Linked DNA regions of Rattus norvegicus. The protein of the gene in region 2 interacts with the protein of the main gene of each other region in a pairwise test. Links are inferred from orthologs where the notes say so. Each region holds a gene or a part of one and is shown on either strand. Other genes may lie near its edges. The genes, in order: Akap17a, Cep70, Nol12, Zfp366, Ttll10, Rbm10 and C10h1orf35.

Region 1 (3,961 bases), on a different chromosome or scaffold from region 2:
CACTTGAGGCCCTGCCCACCCATGCCCATACCACCTCTGACTGAGGCAACACTGTAATTCTGCTCTCCTCTGACTCTGCCCACCCATAAGGCCTGCTTACTTCAGCGCGGGCAAGCAGGGCAGCAATGAGCCGCACAGACTGCAGGTTGCGCTGGGCGAGCAGTAGCCGACGGGGCTCTGCACCTTCCTCTTCCTCACGCCCCAACACAGGCTGGGGCTCTGCCTCCTCCTCCTCCTCCTCCTCCTCTCGACGTCGGCCTCGTCTCTTCCGTGCTCGTTGCCGTGCCTCTCTGCGCCGAAGCTTCTCCTCCCGACGCCGTGCCCGTTGTTGCTGCTCTGCCTCCCGCTGCTTCCTGGGTGGTTGGGGGTGGGTGGGTGATGTCACTGGGCGTGACATCGTGTGATGCAATCGGGTTTGGCGTCACTAGATATGACGTCATTCAAGCAACGTCATCAAATGATTTCATCCCAGGCTGAAGGTGATGTGATAGGGGGCGACATCATAGGGATTGACATCATCGAATGACTTTGCCCCAGACAGGAAATGAGTGTGGGATAAATGAGTGTGGGTTTGCAACTACTGAATGAGTGACAGGTGGGAGGGACCAGGAGTGTAACAAAGAGAAAGTGAGGGGTGGTGATGTCACTCTGTCATTCATATGGGTGACATTCTTATTAACACATTTAACATGAGATCATACCATGATATATGATATTGCATCCTAGTGACATCACCCCAATGATGTCATATGGTATGATGTCATGCAACACAAAGTCATTTGGGATGATGTCACCTGGTGATGTCATCCGAGTGATATCGGCCAGCAATACCATTCAGCATGACCTCATACAAGACCTGATGATGTCACACAGCATGATGTCATCAGAGTAAGCTCATCAGGGCGGTGTCATTATCAACAATGTCATGTGAGTGATATAATCCAAATGATTTCCCAGTGACATCATCCCATTGATCCACCCACCAGTCACCCTGCCTCAGACTGGCTCACCGCTGGCCTGCCCGCCGCCGCGCCTCATCCTCACGCTCCTTCCGCTTCTGCTCTTCACGCCGCTGCTCAAGTTCCTGTAGTTTCTGCCGCTCCAGCTGCCGGCGTCTGATCGAAGCCTCGCTCAGGTGCTGTGTGGCATCTGATGTCACCTGCAGGTGAAGGAGCACAGGGGAGTGAAGAGGACGTGTGGTCACATCACAATGCCGCCCTGTGATGTCATGTGGGTGACCTTTGATCTCCACACTACCCCGCCCCCTTTGACCCCTGTGACATCATTGAAACCATCATGATGTCATGGACCCCACCCCTCATCTCAGGCACTGCACTTTTCCCGAGGAACCACCCACCTGTCCACATGCAAGCGCCAAGGAGTTCCATGTGTCATTTACATCTGGTGCCCCGCCCCTACTCTGTCAGTCATAGCTTAGTCTCCGCCCACAAGATGTCAATCCACTCCAGGTCCCGCCAAACCCCTCACCTTGATGCCGCAGGCCACAGCTTTGCCGTCCGTGCCCCTAAACATGAGCTTAGCACCACGCAGGGCAGCCATGGCACGGGCGTAGGCATCACGCTCTCGGTACTGAACGTAGGCCTCGAAGCGGAGCCGCCCGCCCCCGCCCCCGCCATGGCTGCCGTCCTCACCAAGGTAAGGGTCCAGCATGGGAATGTCCACATGGCGGATCTCACCAAACGCCCCGAAAGCCTGGCGCAGGAGAGCCTCGCTGGGCCTCTCTGCTGAGGCAATGCCACCAGGGGAAGAAATGCCTCCAGCCTCATCCCCGCCACTGCCCCCACGGGGCGCAAACCAGCGGCAGGGCAGGCCCTGAAGGTGGATGGTGTCATGAGGGTGGGCGGGGTCATCCGTGGGTGGGGGCGTGGCCTCAGCGGCGCTTACACGCAGGCCATGGGGGAGGCCGCTGAGCATCATAGTCTTGCCGTCCAGGCCAGCGAGTGCGGGACGCACAAGCGCCCGGTTCTCGACCTCGCCCTCAAAGCGCACGACCTCAGGGCCGCCCCGGGCCAGGCGCAGTGATGACAGCGGCGCTCGTGCCCCCTGTGCCATCGCCCGCAGTCCCTCCATCACCTCCCAGTTTGACACTGCACGACTTGGCGCACGCGGGGGTGGGGACGTCGAGGAAGGCGAAGGGGGCGGAGCTGGGGGCGGAGGGGGCAGCGACACCGAGATTGTCACCCGCGCGATTGGCTTCAGGTACAGGCCCAGCGCCGGGCACAGGGGCACCGCCTCCGAGGGGTCGTGCACGATGGTGGCTGAGGACATGGCCAGCAAGTCTGGGGGAGCGGGGATGGTGCAGTGATATCAGTATGTAGTGATGCTCATGGTGACGTCACAACATCTGAAACACGCACACAAGGTCATGACATCAGAGAACCTTAGGATGAGAACACAGCTAAGGCTATGCTCACCTGACTCCATTATGGCCAAGGAACCAAACCCCGCCCCTCCTCTCAAATAAAGCCAAGCCTCTGCCCCAGGCTCCGCCCCAGTCCTACATTTCTCCTGCTAGGGCCCCATCCTATTTCCTAGCCGGAAAACTCCGCGGAAGCAGCAGAAACAGGTCAGACCCAGTCCACGCGAGCCCGGAGTGTTCTCCGCTCACCTCCTCTAAGCTCCACCCCTGTGCTCCGCAGCGGCCTCGTCACTCTGCCCCGTTACCCTTCGTAGCCATTCCCGGGGCTCCCGTGACGCACCTTAGCTTCCGGTGCCCAGACTCTAGTCCTCGCCACCGTCTAAGGCCTTTTGGTAAAGTCCCCGCAGGCGTTTCGTTCACGGCCGCTGACAACTGATTTTCGTAGTTTAAATGGCCACTTCCGGTCCCGGTCACCTCTGATCCGGGATACCGGAAACAGGGATCACCAGCAGAATCAGCGGCACTCAGCGCGCACGCGCAGGTTTTTGCTCTCGCTCCCAGACACAGGAGGTTGCGGCTCCTTGGTCAACAGGGCGATAATCCTGTGACCAAGGCGCTCACCGGTGACGTCAAATACGATCGACTCCCTCCCGTTTCCTCCGTGGAGACAACGTCTGTCAGCCGCTTTCAACCGCCCTCCTGTGGCGGGAAAGCGGAGGAGCACAAAGGGAACTTCCGGCACCGCTCACCTCTGACCCCCGCCTCAAGAAACAGCAACAGCAGCAGGGCGCGCATGCGTAGACGCTCTTCCGCCCTCCCAGTTCCCTTTTGCGCTTAGGCTCCGTGACAGTGGCCTGCGGGGTCAGCACTGGTGACCCCTTCGTCGCCTTCGCTCGGATGTCACAACAAAGCAACTAGGCTCAGCAAAGAGCAGACTCTGTCCGCTATGCGTGAGGTCATAAACTATGCGACTCGTCGTCAGCCAGCGCGGCCCGCGTAGCGCGGCGGGCAATCCCGTGATTCCTAGCGTATCCATGTGTGTGACGTCCGCCCTGGCGCGACCCCCGTGGCAGTGACAGTGCATCCGGGTCGTCCTTTCCCGGTTTTGACGGAGGCGACAGGGGGCGGGACTTCCGGAATTGATTCCCAGGGCTCTGCGTGGTTCTAGGGCAAGTTCCGGCTCAGATTTTCTTTAAACGGACTTGAAAAGGGGCGGGACTTCCGCCTGTCATACTGATTTTTACTAGTATCTAATACCGCATACGCCCTCTTGCCTGCGCTTTTCCTAAATTTCGCAAGCCAAGAGGGAGGGGCGGGGCCTGGGCGAATTCCGGAAATTGCGCAAAAACGCCACCATTCACGTAACACGAAGGGTGGTGCCTGGGCTGCGGAGTCCTCCAGTGATATCGGTCAGGTCTGGTAACCCCGCGCGACTCTGGCCCCCATGGCACTGAAGCCGCTCGCCCCGCTCCTGCGCGGTTACCACGTGGTCCTGGCGAGCGCTTCGCCAAGGCGGAGGGAGATCCTCGACCTGGCGGTGCGCTTTCCGTTTGCCGGGTCACTGACAGGGAGGGAACCGGA
Region 2 (4,250 bases):
AGACTGGAGAGACATGCTTATTAGACTTCACCCAACTGAGGACTACTGTCCAGGCTATCTCAGGTTTTCAATAAGAAATTCCCAAGGATCGGATAACACAATCAATAGCTGGGGAAAGGAGTGGGCAGCCATCAAAAGACCAGATCTAAAACAGTTTAACAGGGCCAGACACAGTGGAGACACCTTTACATCTCTCTCTAGCCAATCAGGTTACAGAGTAAGACTAGCTGAGAGAGAGGGAGAGAGGTAGAGAGAGAGAGAGAGAGAGAGGGAACGAGTGGTGAAAGGAGGGAGAGGAGGAGGAAAGGAGGGGGTATGGGGAGAACAGGGAGAAAGGAAAGTAACTGTTGTTGGTAGTGTAAGGCGATGCGGCCACCATGAACATCAGTATAGGGGTGCCTAAAAATACCCTAGAAATACCCTAAAAAATATCCACCATATGAATATGGATAATTGTATAACTGAAGGAATCTAACTCCTAGAACACCCATGTTTTGTTTGTGCAATAGTCAAGATATGGAATATGCCCACGTGCCCATTAACACATAAATAGGTAAAGAAAATGAAGGCTATATAAACACAATGGAGTATTATTTACCCACAAAGAAGAATGAAACATGCTGTTTGTTGGACAATAGACAGAACTGAAAACCAACATGTGGAGGCCAAGAAAGCACACCCAGAAACAGCGATGTTATAAGCTGTCTTTCATGTTGAATCTAAAAAAAAAAAAAAAAGACAACCCACCACCACCACCACCACCACCACCAACAACAACAACAACACCCAAAGTAAAACAGAGCCTTCACCACCACCATCACAACAACAACAAACAAGGCACGAAAGCAGGGACTGTTTGGGAAAAGGAAGCGGACCAACAGAAACTAATGGGTGGGGCACGTTGACAGAGGTGTGGTAGGGAGAGTCAAAGCATTAATGTCCACTGCCAGAGTCTCTTGGGTAGCATAACATGAAACCACAGGGAGGCAAGTTGCCTGGTTAGATACTACTGAGGTCTGGACGTGGCCACTATAGAGATGGGTGGCTTCAGGCTGTCCCCTGCTCCCCAACCTGGGCTCTGGTCTCACCTGTGCAATTATGGCCTATGGACCGACCATCTTGCAAAGCAGCGTGCTGGGTCTGATTCTTTAGACTGCAAAGTTTTGCTCCTGCACCAAGCTTGGGGACTGGGAGCTCTGGGAGCATGCGCGCAGAACAGTACGGTCTACGATCTGCTGCCCTGCTTTCCCGGCCCTACCTGTGTAGCTGTCTAACCTGATGCCTTTGTTCTCCGAACAAGCCTTCCTCAGCCTGTACCCAGACATCATCAAGTCCTGCCCTGTGAGCAACGCCCAACAACAAACGTTGCTATGAGCCGTCAGTCCTCTCTGGGTGCCTGGCTCCGTTGCTGGAGTGAACTTGGGGAAACAAAACCCCACGACCTTGCTGCTCTGAAACCTGTGGAAGGTAAATCTGCTCCTGACATTGGTTCTCTAAAACCACTGTCCGGCATCCCTGTCCTTTTCTCTCCCTTGTGATACTGAGACTGAGCCGGTGTTCGAAGCTTCATAAATTTCCCAAATTGGCCTTAAGCTCACTCTGTAACCCAGACAGACCTCAGACTTGCAATTCTCCAGAGCTTTTCTTTCACTTCTTTTAAGACCCAAACTCCCTAAGGTGGACCCTGATACATACGGGAGGCAGACATAAAATTTGCTCTCCCCTCTCCATACACGGCTACCTCTAGACTCATTCCCTTGACAAAACTCATTTGGGTGATGGGCATATTTTGAGGCAGGCAGAGGAGCTTATTCCAAAACATCCACCGGGTTGGATGGATGCAAATGGATTCTGTCACATCTCTCCGATAAAGACAATGATCCCACTCATGTAGGCAGAGTCCCCATGACCTAATTACCTCCTAAAGTCTCCACCTCTTAACACTTGTGTTAGAAATCAGGTTTCAACATACAACATTTCAAAGAACCCCAGTATTCAAATCACCATGGTCCTCGAATCTGCTGGGCCCCTAGAAGCCCTCAGTCGCTTCACCTATGTCTGTTCTGTTGTTGGGCCTACTCTCTGGGGACCACTCACTGCTCCTGTAAGGTGGCTATGTTGGTTAGTTAAAAACAAACAAGCAAACAAACAAAAACAAAACAAAAACAAAACCCAGACACACAAAAATCGGTTCAAAATATACCAGAATATGCTAGTCTCTTGCACTGTGTTAATGACCAAAATGATTCAAACGACTTACAGGAGGGACTTTTGATTTGGGCTCAGAATTCCAGAGGTGCCAGTCTGCCCACGGCAGGGTCAGCACGGTGGATGGGCCACTTCACACCGTGATCCCAGAAAGCAGAGCAGGCATGATGGACTGAAGGCAGAGGAAAGAGGGTACAGGAAGAAGCCAGAGGAAGAACATGCTCCCAGTAACCCACTTCCCCTGACTTGGCTCCATTTATGACCTTTCACCCCGTCCTGATAAAACCCTGATATACTGTGAATCATCAAGGGAGTATTCCGTTTATTAGGTCAGAGTCCTCTCGATCTGCTCTGGAAACATCATCACACTGAGGATTGCTTCACTAAAGCACTAGACATTTCTCAATCCAGTCAAGCTGACAGTGAAGATTGCCCTCACAAAGAAGACGGGGAGTTAGGAATATTTATGGACTGGGAGCATGGAGAAAAGTGATCAAGAATTAGGAAGTAATTGGTTTAAGTGTTCAAGACCAAACTTTAACAACGACCCCCAATGTCAGCTCTGAAATTGGTGGTTTTAAAAACCAGCTAAAATCGAGCCACTAGGAGTACGTGAAGTAGGTTAAGTCTAGAGGGTTTAGTCTGGAATTAAGAGCAGGTGACACAGGTTAAGTGTGAAGAATTTGTTCAGGTTTTCCTTGGTTTCATAAGGGTGCAGGAAAAAGGTGCTATCTTAGGTGAGCAAAGCAATCCCTCTCTAGATTCTTCATCTTCTGACACCTTGATTTTGGACTTCTCAGCCAGAACAGAAAGCAACACATTTCTGTGGTTTGGAAATTATGTAGTCAAAAGACATTTTTGTGATAGGAGCCCGAGTGGGCCCCATCTTACAGCTTACTTCTGTAGCTTGATGATAATGTCAGGTTGTTCCAACTTTGGGATGAATATAATGGATAAAGTTTCTACGCGATAAGCAAGTGCAGTCTGGGAGAGAAGACAGTGTTGACAAGAGGAAACAACCTATTGATTAGGTTAATAGATCTTGGAAATGATATGACTGAATTCCTGAGCAAATTGTGCTCCAGAAATTCTGCTGAGAGAGCTTTGTACCTGACCTTGAAATGAAAGGTTCCCTGGAAAAGCGACTTTTATTCTCCTAATGTAATTGGCATCTCCGAGTCTTACTGCTGCCTCCTTCTGCTAACCTGGGCCTAGTCCTGGAAGCTTCTAGCCTCTGTACAATCCTATCTAGGCCTGGAATGTTTTCAGCCTCTGAGACTTACTGCTGAATAAGCTCACCCTGTCTAGCTCTTTCTGAACTCTGGCTGGCTGGTCACCTCAGCTGTTCTGACTCAAACTCCTCTCCAAGCTGACTGATTCAGTCTGGCTTCTCCCAGCTTCTGCTTGGCCTCATACTAACTTTGGCAATATATTCTAATCTTCTGCCTCCTTCTCCCTCTCTGTCTCATTCTGTCTTCAGATGTGTCTAACCTGCTCTCTCTCTCCACCCTGTCTCTGTACAACTGTCCCAGCAAAACTGCCTCCCCCTCTCACTGCACTGCCCTTCAGGTAGCTTCCCTTTCCTCTCTCTCCTCATGAGTTGGGCGTATCCTGTTCTGCCAAATCTTTCTCTGATTTGTCATTTTGTCTGCCACTTAATTAGACATCACTTTCAAACACCGATGCTTTCTTCAACAAACTAACTTTACCCTCATTGTTTGGGATTGAAGGCGTGAAGGGCATGTCTGTATTCCAGCCAGAACAGCCATGATGCTGAATTAAAATCCCTCTATAGGGGCTGGGGATTTAGCTCAGTGGTAGAGCGCTTGCCTAGGAAGCACAAGGCCCTGGGTTCGGTCCCCAGCTCCGAAAAAAAAAAGACCAAAAAAAAAAAAAAATCCCTCTACAGTTCCCCAAGAGGAAGACTTCATAGTAGCTTTCTCTTCATTATTTGCTTTTATTCGTAGATTGGACACATAATAAATTATTAAAGAAGGGTTGTAGTGGAAGACTCCAGAGATGCCTCAAGGTTGGCTGGTTTC
Region 3 (4,126 bases), on a different chromosome or scaffold from region 2:
CTTCTTGCTGCAGACACATCATCTCCAGGACTATCATGAAAACTGACTACAGTCAAAGACATCAGTCCTGCTGCAACACAGGACTGGGTCACCAGATGCACATAGCCTTGAGAATGGGAGGAAGTCTGTACAACAGGGTCAGTAAAGTCCCCTGCCCAGTGTTATTTTATCCCGGGTTTCACGTTCAAACTTTTGTGGTTAGTAGAAGGTGTGTTGTTAAATTTCCTCTCCATACTTGAGGATACTGAGGCACATAGCTGGATACGGCTTGTGCACCAAACCGGAGTATGGCAGACTATTGTGTGACACACTCCTAACAACACACTTATCCCACCACGGTCGTGGCTCTCAGTTTGTTGCACGCAGGAGCAATATTCAGGGCCACAAGAGAATGTGCTAGAAATAGACATTCTGGGATCCTGTCAAATGTGCTGAACCCCCAAGTTCTTGATTTGGATTTCAGCAAGCCTTCTAGTGCATGCCCAGAGTTCTAGAGCCACCTCTTTACAATAACCTTACAAAGTCACTACAGCGATCTGTGTTTTATAAATAGGAAAGTGAGACACAAAGAAAATGGTAATTTGGGGGCTGGAGAGATGACTCAATGGTTAACAGCCCTAACTTCTCTTGCAGAGGACCAGGGTTTGGTTCCCAAAACCCACATGACTCACCATCTGTAACTCTAGTTGCCGGGGATCCGATACCCTCTTCTGGGCACTTACTCATGCGGTGCACACAACTCACTCAGGCACAGTATTTTATTAATCTTATTTATTTATAGACAAGGTCTCTTTATTATGTCGCTCTGCTCTGGTTGTCCTGGAACTCACTATGTAGGGTAGGCCGACCTCGAATCCCCTGCCTCTGCCTCTCAAATGCTGGGATTCAAGACATATGCCACCTTGCCCAGCTCATAATTTATGTTTTTGGTTTTTTTTTGTTTTTTTACGGCAATTGCTCCTGAGTCACATACTTTGTAAAGGAGTACCAGTGTTTGGATCTAGGCAGTTTCCCGCGACCATAGAAATCACAAAAGAGTTGACATCAGAATTCAATTAAAATCAGTAATTCTTGGACATTTATGAATAACTCCAGATTGAGCGTCTGTTTGAGGCAGGGCAGATGATGGAATCAGGAACCTAGTGCTCACTGGAGCCATTCTAGGACAATTACTCAGAAGACCTGAACCAAAGCTAAGACAGGATGGGAGGCTCCTTTAAAAGGTGGAGCCAAATCAGTGGAACTCTGGAACAAGGCCACGACGTGCGCCCCTACCGGAAATATGAAACGGCTCCGCCCGGAAGTGTTTTAGGTCAGAAGCAGCCACGCTGCCGGAAGCTTCACTGTTATGGGCCGCAACAAGAAGAAAAAAAGAGATGGAGATGACCGGCGTCCCCGGCTCATCCTCAACTTTGATGAAGAGAAGCGGCGGTGAGTGCCAGGGTAGAAACAGATTCCCGTCCGGCTGCCGGGGTTAGCGCGCCAGTCCCGGTGCGCACACGCCCTCGCAAAGGGCACTTCCGGTCCCGCCCCTGGATGTGACTGAAGAGCGTGTTCCCCTTTCCCGTGGAGTGAAGTCTCCTGCTCTGCCCCTCACTCGCGGTTTACGGTTCTCAGGGCTATGCCTTGGACCACGCGAGTCCAACATCGTCCTTTATCACGGCATATAGCCGGCTCCCAGTCGTTGTCGACGAATCGACGAAGGACGAGCGAATGGGATGAGAGAGATTTATGTTCATTCGCTCATCAGACCGTGTGCCAACCAAGCTTGAGACCAGAGGCTGAACCTCTGCGTTTCAGTGTCACCGTGGATAAATGGCACCTTGTAGTCCGGTGGTTCTCAACCCGTGGGTCGCGACCCCTTTAGACCCATTGGAAAAGATATTTACATTTACGATTCTTAACAGTAGCAAAATTACAGTTATGAAGTAGCAACAAAAATAATTTTATGGTTAGGGATCACCACAACATAAGGAACTTTTATTAAAAGGTCATTGCATTGGGAAGGTTGAGAACCACTGTTTGCAAAAACCCTGGTGCAGTGTACCAAAGACAATTGCCAAGCATGGTGGTACAGACCTGTAATCCTCAGTCACCCGGAATGTTGAGGCAGGAGGATTGCAGAGTCAAACCCTGTCTGGAAAAGTTCAAGAACAGAATGGGTATTTGGACAATTTATGGAGTCCCTGTCTCCAAGTCAATATAAACTAATTAATCTATTAGACCATTTGTCTAGCTCGAACAAGGTACTAAACTTAATTAACCCTCCAGTACAACAACAAACTCAGGAACAGAGCAGAGATCAGACAGGAAGAGGAAGCAAGAGTCAGGAAGGTGGGGGCACTCCTAGGTCCTGCCACACAGGTGGGTTCAGGAGTCAGGTGTCATTGGGGACAGGGTGTTGGTTGGTTCAGTGAAAGTTTTGGGGGTCTGGGTGAAGGTATTATTAGAAAGCTTTACTAGAAATGACTCCTATGAGATAAAGTTTGCCAGTATAGAAATAGTGACTACTTGCTCTACATGTTGACCACGTAGCCTGGTGTGTACTTACCTAGGGGCAGGAAGCCCAGGTGAGGTAGGTGAGAGACCTTGTCAAGACACACATTGTGTTACGGTGTTTTGGTTAGTAATGGGGCATGTACTGAGACTGTAGCTTGGCATAGGTGTACGGTAGGTTAATACCTCCTAGGATTATATAAGTACACTCTGATGGTCCAGCAAGGACTACCAACTTATTTCTCTTAAGGTACCCTTGTCATTGAATGACTAATAACTGCATTGTATGTGACCTTGGATAAGTACCCTAGTCTCTTCCTCAAGTCCCTCTCTATAAAGTGAGGACTGGCTGTTGAAAGGGTAAAGTGGGTTAGTGGGTAGGATAGAGCCTGACAACTCATGGAACACTCTAGAGCCCTGCTTTCCCGTGGCCCCTCCTGACTTCCCCCACTTCTCCCCTGCTTCCTTCCTGCAGGGAATACCTGACAGGCTTCCACAAGCGGAAGGTAGAGCGCAAGAAGGCAGCCATTGAAGAGATAAAGCAGCGGCTTAAGCAAGAGCAGAAGAAGCTTCGGGAAGAGGTGCGGTTGAGGGTGGGGTATGGACTGGGTGGGGGCTCAGCTACCAGGGAGGGTCAGCCTTGAATAGGGCTGCTGGAGTCAGCTGTGGGACAGCAGCGTGAGTGTGCTGGGAGCTCTTCATACAAGTGGAGATGCTAAGGATCTCTGTAAAGGACGGTCTCCCCTTGACTTTGCTGTGTGAACCATGGTCCCACACGATGGCAGTGAAGTGCGTGGGACTGTCACAGGGCATGGATGGAAAGGCCGTTCTCAGTGTGTTTATTTCTGTCTTAGTGGCTTTTCCTGGGACTGTGATTAAAAACAAAAAAAAAAAAAAAAAACTCTTGAAAAAAGGCAGCTTAAGGGAGAAAAGGTTTGGGCTAGAGACATGGCTCAGCAGTTAAGAGCACTGACTGCTCTTCCTGAGGTGCCAAGTTCAATTCCCAGCAACCACATGGTGGCTCACAACCATCTGTAATGAGATCTGATGCCCTCTTCTGGTGTCTGAAGACAGCTGCAGTGTACTTATATATAATAAATAAATAAATCTTGGGCTGGAGAAATCTTGGGCTCAACTGTTAAGAGCACTGCCTGCTCGAGTCAGCTGGTCCCATTGCACCCACAGTCGGGAAGCAGAGTGATGAAACAAATGCTGCCCCTTGACTCCCTTTCCTCACTTAACAAAGACCGGGAATGGCTCACCTATAGTGAGCAACTCCCTTTTCTGACTTACGCAATCCAGGATCCCAGCCCGGGAATAGCACCACCCATAGTGGTCTTCTCACCTCAGTGAACAAAATCAAGATAATATCCCACAGTGTACTCAGAGGCCCATTTCCCAGGCTATCTTAGATTTAGTCAGGTTAACAGTTAACACCTTCACATTTTCCCATTTGGCTTCAGCGCCACCAGGAGTACCTGAAGATGCTGGCAGAAAGAGAGGAGGCACTAGGTAAGTCTTTAACTTATGTGGAGAGCATCCGGTGAGCCTGTGCTTCTGTGTCCCCTCGGGGGCCAAGGGGGAATGGGGAGAGAGCTGTGGAGAGGGTTATTTCCTTAGCGTAGAGATC
Region 4 (3,500 bases), on a different chromosome or scaffold from region 2:
CCAGTTGATGAACTTGGCTCGGTGAGAGCATCTATCTCAAAAACATTACATGGGGAGTAAGAGCAGACACCTGAAGTTGGCCTCTGGCCTCTGTGTGCACACATGAGCATTTTGCACACTTAAGCAAACATGCACAAAATAAAAAAAAACCAACTAAATAAATAAAACAAACAAACAAAGCTCTGGGTGCTGGAGCTGCTGTTCTGAGAGACTGGATCATATCTCGGTGTTTTCACTTTCAGTCAGCTGCAGACCCCAGCACCCTTGAGAATCAGTAACACTGAGTTGCGAACCACCACAAAGCAAGCATCTGGTGTCTGCCCAGGTGTCCACCAAAAGCACACTTGTTTAATTAACTATTTGAGGAAAACAACAGGTTCTTTTTCCCATTGGAACTTCATTTTCCGTTACCTTGCCAAATCCATAAGGTCTAAAATCAGTAACCTTTGACCTCCATCCCCATACATACACAGGAACCCCCTGAACTAAGCCAGCAGTGCCTTTGTGGCCAAATCTGAGTCCAAGTCCTCTGTCGATGGTTCCCGCACTTGTCGGCCAGTCCCACCCCCCCAACCCCCATTCCCCTTAGATGTTCTATGAGTGCCTTTTGTCCATCAGGAAGTACATCTCTGCTACAGAGCCAGAGAGCACTGTGTTTTGTCCTGACTGAATGAAGGAAAGCCAGCAGAGTGGGGCTGCAGCTGGCCTCAGCTGGCCAGCCCTCTGATGACCCATGGAAATAAAGGATGTTTTAAAGACTCTGCTCTGCTCTTGCCAAGAAAACTACTGAGGTCAAGGGTAAGACCAGAGGTCAGTAGAGGCAAAAGTCCTCTCTTGGCAGGTCACAGCAGACCTAAGTAAAAGCTTATTTGAGTAAGATCTCAAGATGCAGCTCTGGGCTCGCCCTATTCCTGTGGTGCACTCCACATCGCTAGTTACAAAGAATCTTGTATTTGCATTGCTCCCGGAAGATCTGAGCCCAGAGAAGTTAAAACCCAGCAGAGAAGGGTGCTTCCTCCCGCTTCCCACAAAGATACCACAGACTAGTGAACCCAAGCGGACAGGGAAGAGCAGGCCCCGGAGACTACGCTAAACTCTGCTCCAACTTATAGCCACCCGAAGGAAGCAAGTGTCACAGCAGGGCCAGCCAACGAACCAGAAATAGGCCCTGCTGCTGCTGCTGGAAAGGGCTCTTAGAGAATTCTCTAGAAAGAGGGTTTCTTTGGTATAGCCCAGGCACGGTGAATGATGATCTGTGTCTGATCACATGCGTTTTGTTGTTGTCGTTTTTGTTTTTCACTAGTGCCCTAAAAGAAGTTTCTGGAAACAAAATGCTAGGGCTCTTGAGGGCTAAGCAGAAATATCACAGCACCCAGCTGCTTCCTTCATCCTTCCTCACTGTCCTCTCCAAGAGTCTGCATTGGTAATTTCCAGTCCCACCTTAGGCGCTAACTCTATTCTGGGAAAGGGCTTAATTGATTGCGTACTGGCACATCTTTCACTGTTTGTTCCGTGAGGTGGGAAAGGGCTTTGGGGGCTCAGGTTAGGCGAGCATATTAGCCAGTCACAGAGCTCTCTGCATTTTAGATAGGAACAGGATCATAGACCCACCCCAACCAGCTCTGTTCCTTTCCTGGTGACACAGCAGACCACCCCTGGTTGCCACCCCGTTTCCCCCTCCTCCACTTCCCATACCTTGTGGGTGAGTGAATGTTGCTTGAGGTGATGGGGTTGCACGAACTCCATGCCGCACTCGGAGCAGATGTAGGGACGGATGTCCTTATGCTTCATCATGTGATTCTGAAGCTGGCTTGGGTACTGGAAGGTCTTGTCGCACTCTGAGCAGTTGTACTGGATGGGGCCCCGATGCGTAGTGAGGTGCCTTTTCAGCTGAGCCAGGGTGGGGAAGTCGAGGCCGCACTCCACGCAAATGTTCTCGCGCCCGCTGGCGTGTTTGGCCTCGTGGGCCTTGAGCTCGCTGGGGTAGGCAAAGCCCCGACTGCAAACGCGACAGTTGTGCGGCTTCACCTCGCTGTGCTGCATCATGTGACGCTTCAGGTGGCTGGTCTGGGTGAAGGCCTTGTGGCACACCTGGCATTTGTGGGGCCGAGTGCCCTGGTGTGTCAGCATGTGGGTGTGCAGATGGCTGAGCTGCTTGAAGAGCTTCCCACAACGGGAGCACGCGTGCGGCTTGATCCCACTGTGGCCAAGGATGTGGGTCACCAGGTTATACTTGGAAGTGTAGGACTTGTCACAGGTGGGGCACTGCCAGCGCTTCTGAGCCCCGCCCACATCCACGTAGTAGCTGTCATCAATCTGGACGTTCACATCCACCCTCTCCACCTTCTGTTTGGTCTCCTCGCTCTCCAGGGGCTCCACTTTGCGGGGTAACACTGGCTCGGGGGGCTGCTTAGGCAGAAAGGTGTGCCTGCTGAAGGGGAAGGGTGAGGACGAGGGCATGAAGAAGGGAAACATGAGTCCAGGGTGGACTTTGGGGTAGTAGGGGTAAGGCGCAGGCAGGAAGGCAGGAGGCGTGGGCTGGGGCCACATGGCGCTGGGTTTCACCGGCTCCTGCTTGACTGGTTTGCCCCCCAGGTGCTCCAGGGTGCGATAGAACTGCAAGCCCACATTGCACAGGTCGATCATCTGGGAGTCACACTTGGGATGCTGTGGCTGCGGAAAAAGCAGAGCGAGGTTTGGAGGACCCAAGCTCTTGCTCTCCTGAGCGATGGTGGCTTCTTCTGCAGAGTGATTGTAAGGCACCTTGGTGGGCATGCTCTTCCGTTTCCGGGACCCTCCTCCCTCGAAGACCTCCGGGAATCCATCAAGGTCTCCTGGAGAAGGTTCATACCGAAACTGTGAAAAGGGGCCCCGGAGGGCTTCCGGGAAGGGGTGTCTTTGGGGAGCCTTCCCTCGGGAAGCCTCGGGCTGTAGGCAGTGGGGAAAGGAAGGGATGCTTTTCGCAGCAGCGTTGAGGGGGCCATCCTCGTCTTTGACCATCTTCATCACCTTCTGCATCCTCTGCAGCTTCTCTTTAAAGAGAAAGAAAACTTTTGTGAGGTTTTGCTTTGCCTTGTTTCTGATCTTCTTTTCTGAACTTAAAGAGGTTTTGGATAGGGATCAGTACTAACTTATAAAAAGTATTATTATATTGACCCTCTGAGTTCTTTTAAATTCACCTGCTAATGTGGTGCTACCCATCTGAGGGCCTATTGTGAACTACAGAGCCATAGAATTTCAGTATCATAGGGGCTGGGAGTGGGTTTGTTCTGACAGAAACCTGAAAGTTTATCTGTCCCTCGTGTATCTCCCTCTCCTTCCTTCTGTTTAAAGCGAGGGTCCTAAGGCCCCTGAGGATGAAATGATGTGTTCATACAGCACAGCTACTCAGTGGGGGGTGGGGGTGGAGGTGGGGGTGGGGGTGGGGGGTCAGAACCAGGATGCAGACTGCAGCAGTTCTCATCTGAGTTGGAATTACCACTCATTGGTGTTTTAAATGT
Region 5 (4,300 bases), on a different chromosome or scaffold from region 2:
AGGAGCCCATTCAGGGAAGTCACCGGGAGCCTGGCAGCTTCTTCTTCCCCTAGGTTGTCTGTGGGTAGGTGGGATGATCAGAGGCCCTGGGGTTTCTGACTCAGTAGGGTTTTCCTGCCCCTCCCAGCTGCCAGAAGCCCCACCTGCATCTTGTTCCAGCTGACTTAGCTCAGGCCGGAGCCCTTCCTCGACACTGCTCCCCATCCGTTTCTCATGGGTCCAGCCTGGAGACCAGTGGTGTCAGGTGGGGAAAGGGCAGGTACCCATTCAATCTGCCTGAGCCCAGCCAATGCCAGCAGCTGCTGGGAACTAACCCGGCCCCTCTGGACTTTTCTTCAGCCCAACACAGACCTGACCAGGAGGCCTGAGGGTCATTACACCCAAGAAAGGAGACATCATCAGCCTTAAGTCGGGCAGAGCCCACGTGTCGTGTGGAGACTACATTGGGAGTGAAGAGGGTGGCCCCACCTGCACCCTCCTTACCAGTAGGAAAGGCTCCATGCAGGGAGTGGGCTAGAGTGTGAGACAGGAGCCCATACAAACATGATGTGGGGATGTCTCCAGAGGGCAGGGGTCACAATGTCTATGATGACATCATGGGTGACTCAAGAGTCTATGGTCAACCAGGAGAGATGAGAAACTGCACTAAATGGGTTTGAGGTAGTGAGTGCCCACTGTGATGGCACGGACAGGTAAAGCTTGCAGATTCTTGAGCATAGTGTCCCTAGTATGTGGACCCTTGTTAACTTCTCTCAGAGCCTGCTTGGTTGGCTGGCTGGGCCTGGTCTAGTATGAGCCTAATCTCTTTCCTCTGAGATGCATTCCCTGGAGGCCCTGACTTGAGAGTATGTGTAACCAGTCCCAGAGCCCCTCTGTATTCACCTGGCACCTTAGTGTGGGATTGATGGGTCCTGGACCGTTTGGGTCTCTTGAAGCTGACATGGGTCCGAGGGGGTTGAACCCGGTAGTGGATGAATCTTGGACGGTTGCGCGTTGCAGGCATAAGGGCACCAGGACGTGGAGCCCTTGAGGCAGATGTAGTCCCTACACCCCTTCGGGGTCTTCGAGCAGCCCGATGTCCCAGCCCTTGGATGGGACAGACCGCTGCACCCACCCTTCTTGGGCAAGAAAGCCTCCCTGTATCCTGGGTTGTAGCTTCTGTTTGTGCCTCACTTCCATTTCTGCGATGGCCGTGAGGCCTTCTGGCCGGTGGGTGTAAGGGCATCTTTGCATCCCGCCTCTGCCTAGTGAGTTTTCTTCGGCCAAGACTGTCCTGGCCTCGATGAGTGTGGCCTCTGTGTCTGCTGCAAAGAGGTTGCCCATCAGCCTTGCTGCTGGTAGGGTGTGTATCTGCACACTTGAAGGTCAAAGAGGCTCCAAGCCCCAAAGGTCCTATCAGTTTATGGCTACCTAAGTGCTCATAACACAACCTGTCTACCATCAACTCTTCGTCCCTTAGCACCCCTGCTCCAGATACTGTCCTTTTCCTCTATTTAACATCTTTGAAACATTTTAGGGCATTTTAAATTAATTCCTAGTCAAAAGTTCGTGCCTCACATCAAGGAAATAAACCCAAGTTGTTGGGTGGGGTGAGTGAAGAGAAGGCAGCGTGACTGAGAAGGGAAAGAAAGGTTGAGGCCTTTGGACAGGAGCAGGTCAGCTCTGAGGAGGAAGGCAGGTCTGTGGATCGACTGACAGCAAAGAAAGGCCAAATAACAGCAACCATTGGAGAGTCAAGCCATTCAGGCATTACGTATGTCTAGCAGTTCTGCATTCTGCCCCCACCAAATCAACAGGAAAAGAAAAAAAAATCCAAAAAGTTCTGTAGGATGGAGAGAAATCCTGGAACGAGAAACTCAGACCTCTGTAGAGGACAGGCTGCAAAAATGGAAGAATCCAGGAGTGCCTGGAGGCTGATTGGAGCTTTAGAACTGGGCAGGAGTGTAGGTGTGTGTGTGTGTGTGTGTGTGTGTGTGTGTGTGTGTGTGTGTGAGAGAGAGAGAGAGAGAGAGAGAGAGAGAGAGAGATTTCTGCTGATCATTCTCTTAGCTTCCCATTCTTGTTATTTTAACACTGAATTCAGCTATGAATAACTATTTCTTGTCATTCATATTTACTAAAACTAGGCTAGGTGTGGTGACACAAGCCTGTAATCCCAGCACTTGGGAGGCAGAAAACAGGAGATTGACGAAAGTTTGAAGCTAGCCTAGGCTACGTAGAGAGGCCCTGTGAAACAAAGATCATAGCAAGGGCTCATGATGTAGGTCAGTTGATACAGCACTGCACAGCATATATGAAACCCAAGATCTGACTCCCTGAACCACATGAAACAGTAATGTGCTGCACAGTTACAAACCCCGTACTTGAGGAGGATCAGAAAGTCATGGTCATCTTTCACCACCTAAGTTGACAACCAGCTTGAGCTTCATGAAACCCTCCCTCAAAAATTATCTAGAAAGCATGTTTCAGGGTCTCTCTGAGGACAAGACCCAGGATCCAGAAAGGAAGTCTTACAGTAAAATAAACAATTTTACCTGTTCAGATATAAAGACTGGCAGGAAATCACACCCCGGTACGAGCAGGAGATGCGTTTAAACCTGAAGAAGATGGCCGAGAAAATGACCACGTCAGTGGTCTGCTCAAGTTTTCTCCAGACACACACACACGTTTGACAACACAGGGCTCTGAGAAGGTGCTGACATTTTTTTTTTTGAAGGGCTGGTGCCTCCCAAGCAGCGCTCACTGTCTGGGGATGCGTTCTCTGTGGATCTCAGGTGGCCCTTCTGGGGGGTCAGTTCTGGGGGAGACAGACATGGCTCTAGGCAAAAAGCTTCTTCTAAGGAATCCCAACCCTCCCCAAAATTTGAGTTGCCCACGTGGACCAATCCCACCCCTCCCCCAAACACGCCTTTCTTGGCCAAAACACTGGGGTTTGGAGAGTGGCCTTAGCAGAAGGCTTAGCTCAGCCAAGCTGCCCAGTCCTCTCTCCTGTTTATCTACTACCAGAAAGGGTCAAAAAATAAGGCTCAGGAGAGCAAGGACTCAGCCTCAGTCCTAGTCAGGACCCTCAGCTGGTAACCAGCAAGTCTCTCTTACCTGCTCTGCAAGGTCTTAGGAATCCTTTGCTGGGATACAACAGTGGTGACCTGACAACCGTCTCCAGGCAACTATTACTAGGGAACTATGATTCAGCAGCTGCCCAAAGGTAAACAAGAGTTTTAGGTGGATGGTGAAAGGGGCCATTGTGTGAGCTGAGGGGCAGCCTTACAGAAGTTGGGCAAAGCAAGTGGTGGAGAATGGGGGTCAAATTGATCTGAGGAGGCTGACGGGATGCTGTGGCTGAGTAAGGGTCTTGTATACACCCCCACCCCATCTGAATCTGGGGCATAGCCCACTTCCTCCATCCTTCCATGAACTCTTCCAAGATGATTTTTGAGTATTCACAGGGACTTCCTTAATCCAGACCTAAAGATCTAGGATCTGACACCAAGCACGGCTCAAAGTGGGTTTGATGCCAATTTGTAGTTTCCTGTTGGGGAAACTTGGGACCTGGTGTGACTCCTTGCTTCTGACCTCGAGTTTCCAGCCACATGGACTCCACATCCCTGTCATCTTTCAGGGCCTTGTAAGCATCACAAGACCTTGACAGGGACTACACGGTGCTTCCGAAACTCAGGACCATATCATGAGTCCTGGAGTCCATGACCGTGCCTTTTCAAAAATAGAGATCTGTACAGGTGTGGCTGAGTTAGGATCTTAGGTGCAGTCATCTTGCATCAACCAGGTGTACTCTAAACCCAGTGACTGATGACCTCAGAGGGGAGCAGAGATAAGAGTATGTGGCTGTAAGACACAGGACCTGTGAACTATGAGGACATATGAGGACTCCCACCAAGGGCCTTGGGGGAATATCTTGGAAATTCTGGAAAACAACTGTTGTTTTCAGCTACCTTCTAAATCTCCCCACCTTCAGGTTCTTTTGTGGTTCTGCCCATCTTAAGGGGCTCTTGAATCCCCTTAGAAACTGGGCATACCCAGTCACTCATGTGGCTCTTCCCTTGAGGTCTCTTCCCTACTCTAAGCTGCCAGTGTGGGAGCTTGTGCTCGGCTGGTCTAGAAGAGCACCATCTCTCAGCTGTGCCCAGAGTCCTAATGGGATAGGGTGCCCCAAGGCTGTCACTCTCTATTTGTGGGACTGCTTACCGTCATTGATCTGCCCTTCCTATGCTGTGCTGGGGTCAGTCCAGTGCTGGTTTAAGAGACCTCTCTGCTCTAGACTAGTAGTACAGTGGGACTGCAG
Region 6 (3,500 bases), on a different chromosome or scaffold from region 2:
AGAAACTGGAATTGAAACAGGGACCCCCAAGGTACACGGGGGTGGGGTGGGCTAGGGGGATACTGTGAAACAGGGACCCCCAAGGTATAAGAGGGGTGGGGGCAGGGAGATGGGGGGAGCTGTGAGGGAGCTTAGGTGGGGCTCTGACCTCTTAGAGCCCTTGGCAAACTCCACGTTGATGGTCTTGCCATCGATGGTGAGCGGAGGGTGTAGGGCCTGAAGGATCTGTAGCAGCTGGGCTGCTTCCTATGGGTGGAGAGGTGGCAGGGACCGAAGGGTCAGGCCCGGGGAGGCCCCCCGGCTCCATTGCCCCATTTCCAGACTGGGACCGCGGTGAGGGTGGGGTAAAGGTCCCCCCTCCCTACCCTGGGGGCCGGGACCATGGTTGCCCGGCCCCCCCCCTGTGCCGCCCTCACCACGATGGTGGAGAGCTGGATGAAGGCGAAGCCTCGGTTCAGCTGGGTCTGCTTGTCCTTGATAACACGAACATTGGAAGAGGACAGCACCGCATAGGGTGCTAGGGCCCCGAGGATGGAATCCATAGTGCTGTGTGGGTTCAGGTTGCGTAAAATAATGGCTGTGGGAAAGGGTCCAGTGTTAGGAAGCACCTCTGATAGTCTGTTCAGGCCTACTTAGAGATCCCTGTTGCTTCCTGTTCTCTTGTTTCTGTACTCATGTACCCTTTGCTTCCTCTCACTCTTCCTCTTGAATAAACTCTGCTTGTCAGCCCAGGTGTCAGCAGTCTCTCAACTACAGGAACCCTCTCAAATAGCCCTAAAATCAGTGTGTGGACAGTTCCTCCCTCTGCTCTCTCTCTCTAGCATATATCTATCCCCACACCAGGTACAAACACTCTCCCTCAATAAGGATCAAGCACTGTTCATTACCATTTCTTTGGCCTCAGAGGTCCCATACCAGATGCCCTAGGGTATAAAGGAAGGGGGAAAGAACAACTGACTCACTGTCATTGGCATTCTCGGAGCTTGGCTCTGAGCCCTGTGACAAGGCTTGCGAGGTCAGCACTCCCTGGGCCTGGTAGGGCTGCGGCAGTGGGAGTAGGCCCTGGCTTAGCTCCCGCCCACCCAACGGTAGTGCCTGCTGATCCAGTCGAGTGCCAAGGGGTAGCTTCTGCTCTGCTTCTGTCAGGAATGGTGGGAGATATGCTGATGACAAAGGTGGAGGATGCACGGCTGGTCATACTCCCCAGCCCTCACTGGCCTTCATGCCTCTTGCCACTCCCATGTAGTAGCTCACCTGATTTGGGCACACCGCATTTGAAGCACTTCTCTCGGCGCTTGAAGTTCTGGACACCACACTGTGAGGCATAGGCCAGGGGGAGTTAACAACATAATAATCTCGAGGAAGGGAACTTTGAAGGTCAGGGGTGGCACAAGTTTTGGAACTTTATTATCTTCGATCCTATAAACCTCTGACAACTGGTTCCCAGCACCAACCTTCCTTCTTCAGCAATCAGCAATTTTCACATGCTATAGCAGTTGCCTCCCTTCTCTATCTATCTTCTTGGGACTATCAACTCTCAGCATGTTATCTCACAGTCCCTTCTTCCTGAGACTGCTTACCTACCAGAAACTTTCACTGTTTCCTAAGGAAAACCAGCCTCTTTTAGTCAGATTCATTTCCTTCCTTATTGCTAGGCCTAGGCTGAATTCTGCTACTTTCAGCTTTTTTCTTCTTAGACATTCCAGCTACCAAAGACCTTGTTCAGCTTCCATGACATTCTATCTCTGTTCCAGTCAGTTACTAAGCACTACTACTGTGTCAGGCCCAACAACATATGTTCAGGGCAGTCTGTTTCAACTGCACTGACAGGAGTTAGGGGCAGAGAATGGGTTGAAAAGGCCACAGCTTATTGAGCTGGGCTTCATAGAAGCAGGGAGGTTAGAGCTGGGAAATCCAGAGGTTTAGTCTTGCTCGGAGGGACTAAGAGACTTTCTATAGCTGGGGGTGGTGGTGGTGGGGAGGGGCATGTAGAGAGAGAAAAACCAAGGCTGGCAAGAGAAGACGGTGACAGTTAAAGGAGAGACTTATGCTAAAAACTAGTAATTTTAGGCAGAGAATGTAAGGGACAGTCAGAGCTACAAGTAAAGGTGGAGAAAGGGGTGAGGCTAACATAACAAAAGGGCTCTGTGGGAACTAGATGGGAGGGTTAGGAATTGGCAAGAACTCTAAGAATAGCAAAGGAAAGTGACTATTCTGAAATGCAAGTGACAGGATCTGGTAACTGAAAGACATGTAGAACGAAAAGGAGAACACAAAGCAAACACCAGCTTCAAGGAAAATATGAAAAAAGATAAAGTATCAGTATCATTTTGTCCTTCTCCCTCCAGAAAGGCTGAGCACCTATATAAAGATGACAGATACCACTCTCCCACTAACCAGACTCATCAGGGAGAACACAGGGTCCTCCACTAGCTTTCAGCTTTCCTCAGACTATAGATAGGGCTGGGGAGATGGCTCAGCGGTTAAGAGCACCAACTGCTCTTCCAGAGGTCCTGAGTTCAAATCCCAGCAACCACATGGTGGCTCACAACCATCTGTAATGGGATCCGATCCCCTCTTCAGTGTACTTATATATAATAAATGAATAAATCTTTAAAAAAAAAGACTATAGATAGCCCCAGGAGATGGGGCTGTAGAATCACAATGCTGACCTCAGGGCAGACCTAAGGCCACCTAAGGAAGGAGGTGGCCCTGTGAGCTAAAAGCTCATGCATGGTTCCACCTGAGCCTTCGTTTCATTTTTAGGGAATATGGTGATGATGAGACAACCTGCAGGGACCTTCTGTATCAAGGCTGAGTTACCCTCAGAACATTCTGCTTCTTTTCAAAGGTAACGGCAACCACTTACAGACTTGAATGTGGGCCAGAAGGCTTTTTATGTGTTACTTTCCCATCCACATTTCATTCTCTCAACACCTAATTAGCGTTTACTCACTTAGGATGAGAAAAGTGATATAGGGATAGGAAAAGCACCTTGACCAGCATCAAGGCAGACCTGAGACAGTCTACAAGCACCATGGCTCTGAAGCCCATGTCCTATACAATGTGTGTGTCTTGTGCTGTCACTTATGCTATTATTTCTTTCAATTCAATTGGAGCTTTAGGCAAGGCTGTGTTTGATGAGGACAGAGCCTAAATGACTGGGGTTAGATAGCCTGTCTCCAAGACTACACTTTCTCTGACTGAATAAGCTGTTGCTGCTGCTGGAGCTGACTTTCTCCCCAGCACTGGTTACCCATCCACCCCTGTACCTTATTACACAGCCAGTCCTCATTGATCTTGGGCTTGGGGTCGCTGTAATGCATGGATACCTTCTGGCCCAGGATGTTGAGGGAATGCTGTGGGAAAAAGCAGAACACAGTAAGACCTAGGTAGCAGTGCCCCACATACCGTTTCAGCAAAGGAGAAAAGAGTGAGCGAGCCCTTCAGCTGGATGGATGAGGGACAGGGAATGAAGGGAGTTTGGAGAACTGATGGAG
Region 7 (4,015 bases), on a different chromosome or scaffold from region 2:
CAGAGGCAGAGAGTGCATGCTCAGAGGCCATTAAGGCCCCTGCCGGGGCTGGGGATTTAGCTCAGTGGTAGAGCGCTTACCTAGGAAGCGCAAGGCCCTGGGTTCGGTCCCCAGCTCCGGGAAAAAAAAGAACCAAAAAAAAAAAAAAAGGCCCCTGCCAAGCCTCAGGCCATCAAGCCCAAGATGCCAAAGGACCCCAGCCACAAACTCAGCTGTCTGGCTCTCATCACTCACTCCAAGCTTGGGAAGAGCATTTGAAGCTACATGGTCAAGGGTTGTAAGCTCTGCCAATCAAAGCAAGATTGTACAGAGGCTAGAAGCTTCCAGGACTAGGCCTAGGTTAGCAGACAAAGGCAGTAAGCTTTGGAGATGACAATTACATTAGGCAAATAAAGGATATGTATTGTGCAGCTCCCCTTGGGACCATCCATTCATCCCTAGTATGATCTTGTTCTGAGGGATCTGAATCCAGATATTTCCTCTAAAACCAGGACTTGATCTCAGGGCTTATACCAGGAGCCTCACAGGCTGCTGACAGGTACCCAACTTGTGTTCAGAATGAAAACAAAAATGAGATTGTCTTGGTCTATTTGGGATGCTAGAGTGTTCCAGGTTGGGTAATTTATCAGACTAGGGATGGAACCCAAAACCTTCTACATGTTAGGCGAGTGATCTATCATTAAATCCGTTTCTGTTCATTTTGAGGCAAGGCCTCAGTGAACTGCCGGGTAAAGCTTCACCTGCGGAGTACACAGATCGCTCTGGTTTAGGGATGCTTCGACTTGTGGTATTTAGCTTACTGTAATGCCATGCACGCTGTCACTCAGAGCACGGAAGAGTTGATCTATGTTCCTTTGGCGACTTTATCTGCTCCTCAGTGTTCGGTGAAGTTTTGCCATTACTTAACTTAGTTTCAACAGTGACCTGGACCTCAGGCCTTTGGAGTTAGCACGCTTGGCTTTCCAGGAAACAAGCGGACAGCCCCTCCTGGTGTCACTAAGGTGTTGTGGTGTCCCACTCCACGGAGATGCCTAACACAAGCGTTATCAGGTGTGATAGCACGGTTGCCTTTTTGAAGAGGTACTGCGCAATAGGACGAAGGATGTGCCTGTGGGTGAAGCAATGAACGCCCTTTGGAAAGATGGAGTCGGTCCGGGATACGCAGTGCGCAGGCGCACAGGAACGTTAGTTAGAGCGCAGGCGCGCGCGGGGGGCGGGAGAGTGACGTCACGGCGAGCGTCCGGAGGCCGAGTGCTGCGGGGAGTCCGACTCCAGACCGTAGATACTGAAGAAGGTGCAGCGGCTCCAGCACCATGTTCGGCTCCAGTCGCGGCGGCGTGCGTGGCGGGCAAGACCAGTTCAATTGGGAAGATGTGAAGACTGACAAGCAGAGGGAGAACTACCTGGGCAACTCGCTGATGGCACCAGTAGGCCGCTGGCAGAAGGGCCGCGACCTCACCTGGTACGCGAAGGACCGCGCGCCGTGTACCGGCCCGAGCCGTGAAGAAGAATTGGCAGCCGTGCGTGAGGCGGAGCGTGAGGCGCTGCTGGCCGCACTGTAAGTGCTTGGGCTGCGGGGCGACCGCACGCGCCGGGGGCGGGGTCTGGGTGACCCTGGGGGCGGGGTTGGATGTGGGCGGGGCACACGAGGAAGGCAAAGGAGGGACTAGACCTTTGCTGAGCATTCCCGCCCCTCGTTCGCAGTGGTTACAAGAACGTGAGGAAACAGCCCACCGGCCTGAGCAAGGAGGTGAGTCTGAGATAGGGGTTCAAGGTTCGCAGGGTGGCTGGGGGTCCGTCTGTCCCGGCCTAGAACCTCCTGTCTTCCGCAGGACTTCGTGGAGATCTGCAAACGGGAAGGAGGAGATCCTGAGGAGAAGGGTGTGGACCGGCTGCTGGGTCTGGGCAGCGCCAGGTGCGGCCAGTTGGGGAGTCTAGGGCAGGACTGGGCGGTGATTCAGAACTGTCCTCAAATGCTCTGTCCCCTGCAGTGGCTCCGCGGGCCGTGTGGCACTATCCCGAGAAGACAAAGAGGCTGCCAAACTTGGGCTGTCAGTGTTCACGGTAAACCCTGTCAACCCTAATGCCCAGGATCTTGGGGTTTGGGGGTGTCTGAGATGTGGGGCAGGATTCCCGGAGTGTCCCTCACCACAGCTACTCTTATACAGCACCACCGTGTGGACAGCGAAGGCCCAAGTACTGCCCCATCTGCTACCAGGAAGAAGCCCCGTGCTGAAGACAAGGCTGAACTGGAGTAAGTTGAGTCTGACTTCCTGTGCACGCATAAAGGGGCAAAGCACTGCCTTAGGTCTCTTAGTTTACTGAAGTAGGTGGGCCTCCATCTCCCGGCTGAGTCTCAGTAGCTGCCACAGGCAATCCAGCAGGATAATGGGTACAAACAGGAGGGTGACACTCAGGACCATGATGCTAGCCAGTTTGGTGGGGGGTGTAGTAGTTAAAAGTATAAGTTGGCTTTGGTAGTGGCACACATCTTTCTTTCTGGTAGACAGAAGCAGGCTGATCTCTCATAAGCTGGTTCCAGGCCTTGGGATTTAACTGTATGTGTGTCAGGTTACTTCTACTTTTGTGCCATGTCAGCTTTGTATGTAGGTAAAATAGTGAGTTCCGAGCTTGACAAGGCTGCAGAGAGAGACAGAGAGAAGGCCCACCAGGTTGGTAGCATGCCAGCATTCACCCTTGCTGCTGTGGAGCCAAATATTAAGCTCATTTACAAATATAAACTCACAATGTGTAGAAACGACCAGTGTGCAATGCTAAGGTATGGACCCTGCCCTATTCTGTCTTTCCCTACTGGGTGAGACTACCCCACAGTGGAGTGACTCTAGTTCTTCAGGCTTAGACCCTTTGTATTGTTTCTTGCAGTGCAGAGAGCCATAAGAAAAGCAAGAAAGAAAAGAAGAAAAAGAAGAAGAAACATAAGAAACACAAAAAGAAGAAAGACAAAGAACACAAGAGGGAGGCTGACAGCTGCTCATCTTCTCCCTCTCCTGCCCGGTAGGCTAGGCCCAACTCTATCTGGGTCACTAAGGAAGGGGGTGGGGCGCAAAGCTGGCCAGGGCTTGAGTGATGCTTAGCAGGGTGATGGACCCTTCAAGTGTCCCTGTCTTCCTAGGCCCAGACGCCAGAGACATTCTGACTTCTCTCCCTGCTATAAGAGGAAGCGGGAACATAGCCAGGACAGTGGAAGGAACCCATCCCACAGACGACAAGACAGAAGTTCTGATGACTGAGAATGTGGCTACACCAAAGGACACCAGAGGCCTGGCTGCTCTGCCCAACTCTGAGCTCTGTGGGGTCTATCACTGATGCCAAGTGGCTACCAGCCCACTCCTACTTGCTAACTATCTCATCCCTATCTGGGATAAGGCAGGGCTGCTCCCTAATAGCATCCTGAGCCATGCTTGCTGGATCTTAGGATCTATCCTGCCAATTGGAGGCAACCACTCCGGGTCAGAGTGGGCCCTGGGTTACCAGAGAGCCTAGTGGTTCTATGAGGGTAATGCTCTCCCCTTGTCTCCCCACCCACCCACAATTGCCCAGGAGACTGTCTGCCGCCATAGTCCAGGCCCTTGAGGTTTTGGGGTGTGTGTTACTGATTACTTCTACTTTTTTTTGTATCAGCCCACTTTGTACTTAAGTAAATGTATTTTAAAAGTAGAGTGTATTATCTCACTGAGGACAGGTTATGCTGGGAGCCTACCCCTCCCCCCCACACCTCACCATTCAGTATACCTGAGGGCACTGGGTCTAGGGACCAGAATCCTGTCCTTGAGGCTGCCTTACAAGCATACAAGTGACCAAGAAGTTGGAAGAACAAACTTGTAAATTTGAATGTATCTGCTGTCTGCTAAGAGCTCCAGTAGCCAGCAATTTTATAGAGCCTGTGTGCACATGCTGGCAGACAGTAGAAATTAGGGTTGCTACAATATAGCAAGTTGTTCTGATTGTAAAAGCTATTATGCTGGTAGTGTACACTTCTGGGTAGACCCCAAAG

The links.
Region 1: the proteins of Cep70 (region 2) and Akap17a interact in binary tests that used the Homo sapiens proteins (3 or more experiments, as listed by UniProt). The two-hybrid records come from large-scale screens. The link is inferred for Rattus norvegicus from reciprocal best matches to the Homo sapiens genes CEP70 and AKAP17A.
Region 3: the proteins of Cep70 (region 2) and Nol12 interact in binary tests that used the Homo sapiens proteins (3 or more experiments, as listed by UniProt). The two-hybrid records come from large-scale screens. The link is inferred for Rattus norvegicus from reciprocal best matches to the Homo sapiens genes CEP70 and NOL12.
Region 4: the proteins of Cep70 (region 2) and Zfp366 interact in binary tests that used the Homo sapiens proteins (3 or more experiments, as listed by UniProt). The link is inferred for Rattus norvegicus from reciprocal best matches to the Homo sapiens genes CEP70 and ZNF366.
Region 5: the proteins of Cep70 (region 2) and Ttll10 interact in binary tests that used the Homo sapiens proteins (3 or more experiments, as listed by UniProt). The two-hybrid records come from large-scale screens. The link is inferred for Rattus norvegicus from reciprocal best matches to the Homo sapiens genes CEP70 and TTLL10.
Region 6: the proteins of Cep70 (region 2) and Rbm10 interact in binary tests that used the Homo sapiens proteins (3 or more experiments, as listed by UniProt). The two-hybrid records come from large-scale screens. The link is inferred for Rattus norvegicus from reciprocal best matches to the Homo sapiens genes CEP70 and RBM10.
Region 7: the proteins of Cep70 (region 2) and C10h1orf35 interact in binary tests that used the Homo sapiens proteins (3 or more experiments, as listed by UniProt). The two-hybrid records come from large-scale screens. The link is inferred for Rattus norvegicus from reciprocal best matches to the Homo sapiens genes CEP70 and C1orf35.

The regions. Positions count from the first base shown.
Region 1 is NC_086030.1:21,425,448-21,429,408, forward strand, and holds the start of Akap17a (A-kinase anchor protein 17A), read right to left. Parts: upstream 2,801-3,961; 5' UTR 2,721-2,800; exon of another isoform or gene 2,630-2,720; intron 2,366-2,629; 5' UTR 2,290-2,365; coding exon 1,489-2,289; intron 1,160-1,488; coding exon 1,011-1,159; intron 354-1,010; coding exon 101-353; intron 1-100. Other genes in the region: Asmtl (N-acetylserotonin O-methyltransferase-like protein), read left to right, coding at 3,825-3,917. UniProt on the Homo sapiens protein: Splice factor regulating alternative splice site selection for certain mRNA precursors. Mediates regulation of pre-mRNA splicing in a PKA-dependent manner.
Region 2 is NC_086026.1:108,688,257-108,692,506, forward strand, and holds the start of Cep70 (centrosomal protein of 70 kDa), read left to right. Parts: upstream 1-1,450; 5' UTR 1,451-1,467; intron 1,468-4,250.
Region 3 is NC_086025.1:112,372,423-112,376,548, forward strand, and holds the start of Nol12 (nucleolar protein 12), read left to right. Parts: upstream 1-1,326; 5' UTR 1,327-1,348; coding exon 1,349-1,431; intron 1,432-1,534; exon of another isoform or gene 1,535-1,621; coding exon of another isoform or gene 1,622-1,818; intron 1,819-2,271; coding exon of another isoform or gene 2,272-2,364; intron 2,365-2,663; coding exon of another isoform or gene 2,664-2,670; intron 2,671-2,971; coding exon 2,972-3,077; intron 3,078-3,959; coding exon 3,960-4,008; intron 4,009-4,126. UniProt on the Homo sapiens protein: Multifunctional RNA binding protein that plays a role in RNA metabolism and DNA maintenance. Participates in the resolution of DNA stress and the maintenance of genome integrity by localizing to sites of DNA insults.
Region 4 is NC_086020.1:32,354,212-32,357,711, reverse strand, and holds part of Zfp366 (zinc finger protein 366), read right to left. Parts: intron 3,033-3,500; 5' UTR 3,019-3,032; coding exon 1,696-3,018; intron 1-1,695. UniProt on the Homo sapiens protein: Has transcriptional repression activity. Acts as a corepressor of ESR1; the function seems to involve CTBP1 and histone deacetylases.
Region 5 is NC_086023.1:171,923,538-171,927,837, forward strand, and holds the start of Ttll10 (protein polyglycylase TTLL10), read right to left. Parts: upstream 2,801-4,300; 5' UTR 2,703-2,800; coding exon 2,701-2,702; intron 2,598-2,700; coding exon 2,535-2,597; intron 1,305-2,534; coding exon 883-1,304; intron 807-882; exon of another isoform or gene 484-806; intron 225-483; coding exon 144-224; intron 59-143; coding exon 1-58. UniProt on the Homo sapiens protein: Inactive polyglycylase.
Region 6 is NC_086039.1:4,098,525-4,102,024, forward strand, and holds part of Rbm10 (RNA-binding protein 10), read right to left. Parts: intron 3,360-3,500; coding exon 3,273-3,359; intron 1,316-3,272; coding exon 1,255-1,315; intron 1,140-1,254; coding exon 963-1,139; intron 578-962; coding exon 417-577; intron 247-416; coding exon 149-246; intron 1-148. UniProt on the Homo sapiens protein: Binds to ssRNA containing the consensus sequence 5'-AGGUAA-3'. May be involved in post-transcriptional processing, most probably in mRNA splicing. Binds to RNA homopolymers, with a preference for poly(G) and poly(U) and little for poly(A).
Region 7 is NC_086028.1:44,493,170-44,497,184, forward strand, and holds C10h1orf35 (multiple myeloma tumor-associated protein 2 homolog), read left to right. Parts: upstream 1-1,215; 5' UTR 1,216-1,313; coding exon 1,314-1,558; intron 1,559-1,704; coding exon 1,705-1,750; intron 1,751-1,832; coding exon 1,833-1,915; intron 1,916-1,991; coding exon 1,992-2,064; intron 2,065-2,168; coding exon 2,169-2,254; intron 2,255-2,883; coding exon 2,884-3,015; intron 3,016-3,133; coding exon 3,134-3,251; 3' UTR 3,252-3,678; downstream 3,679-4,015.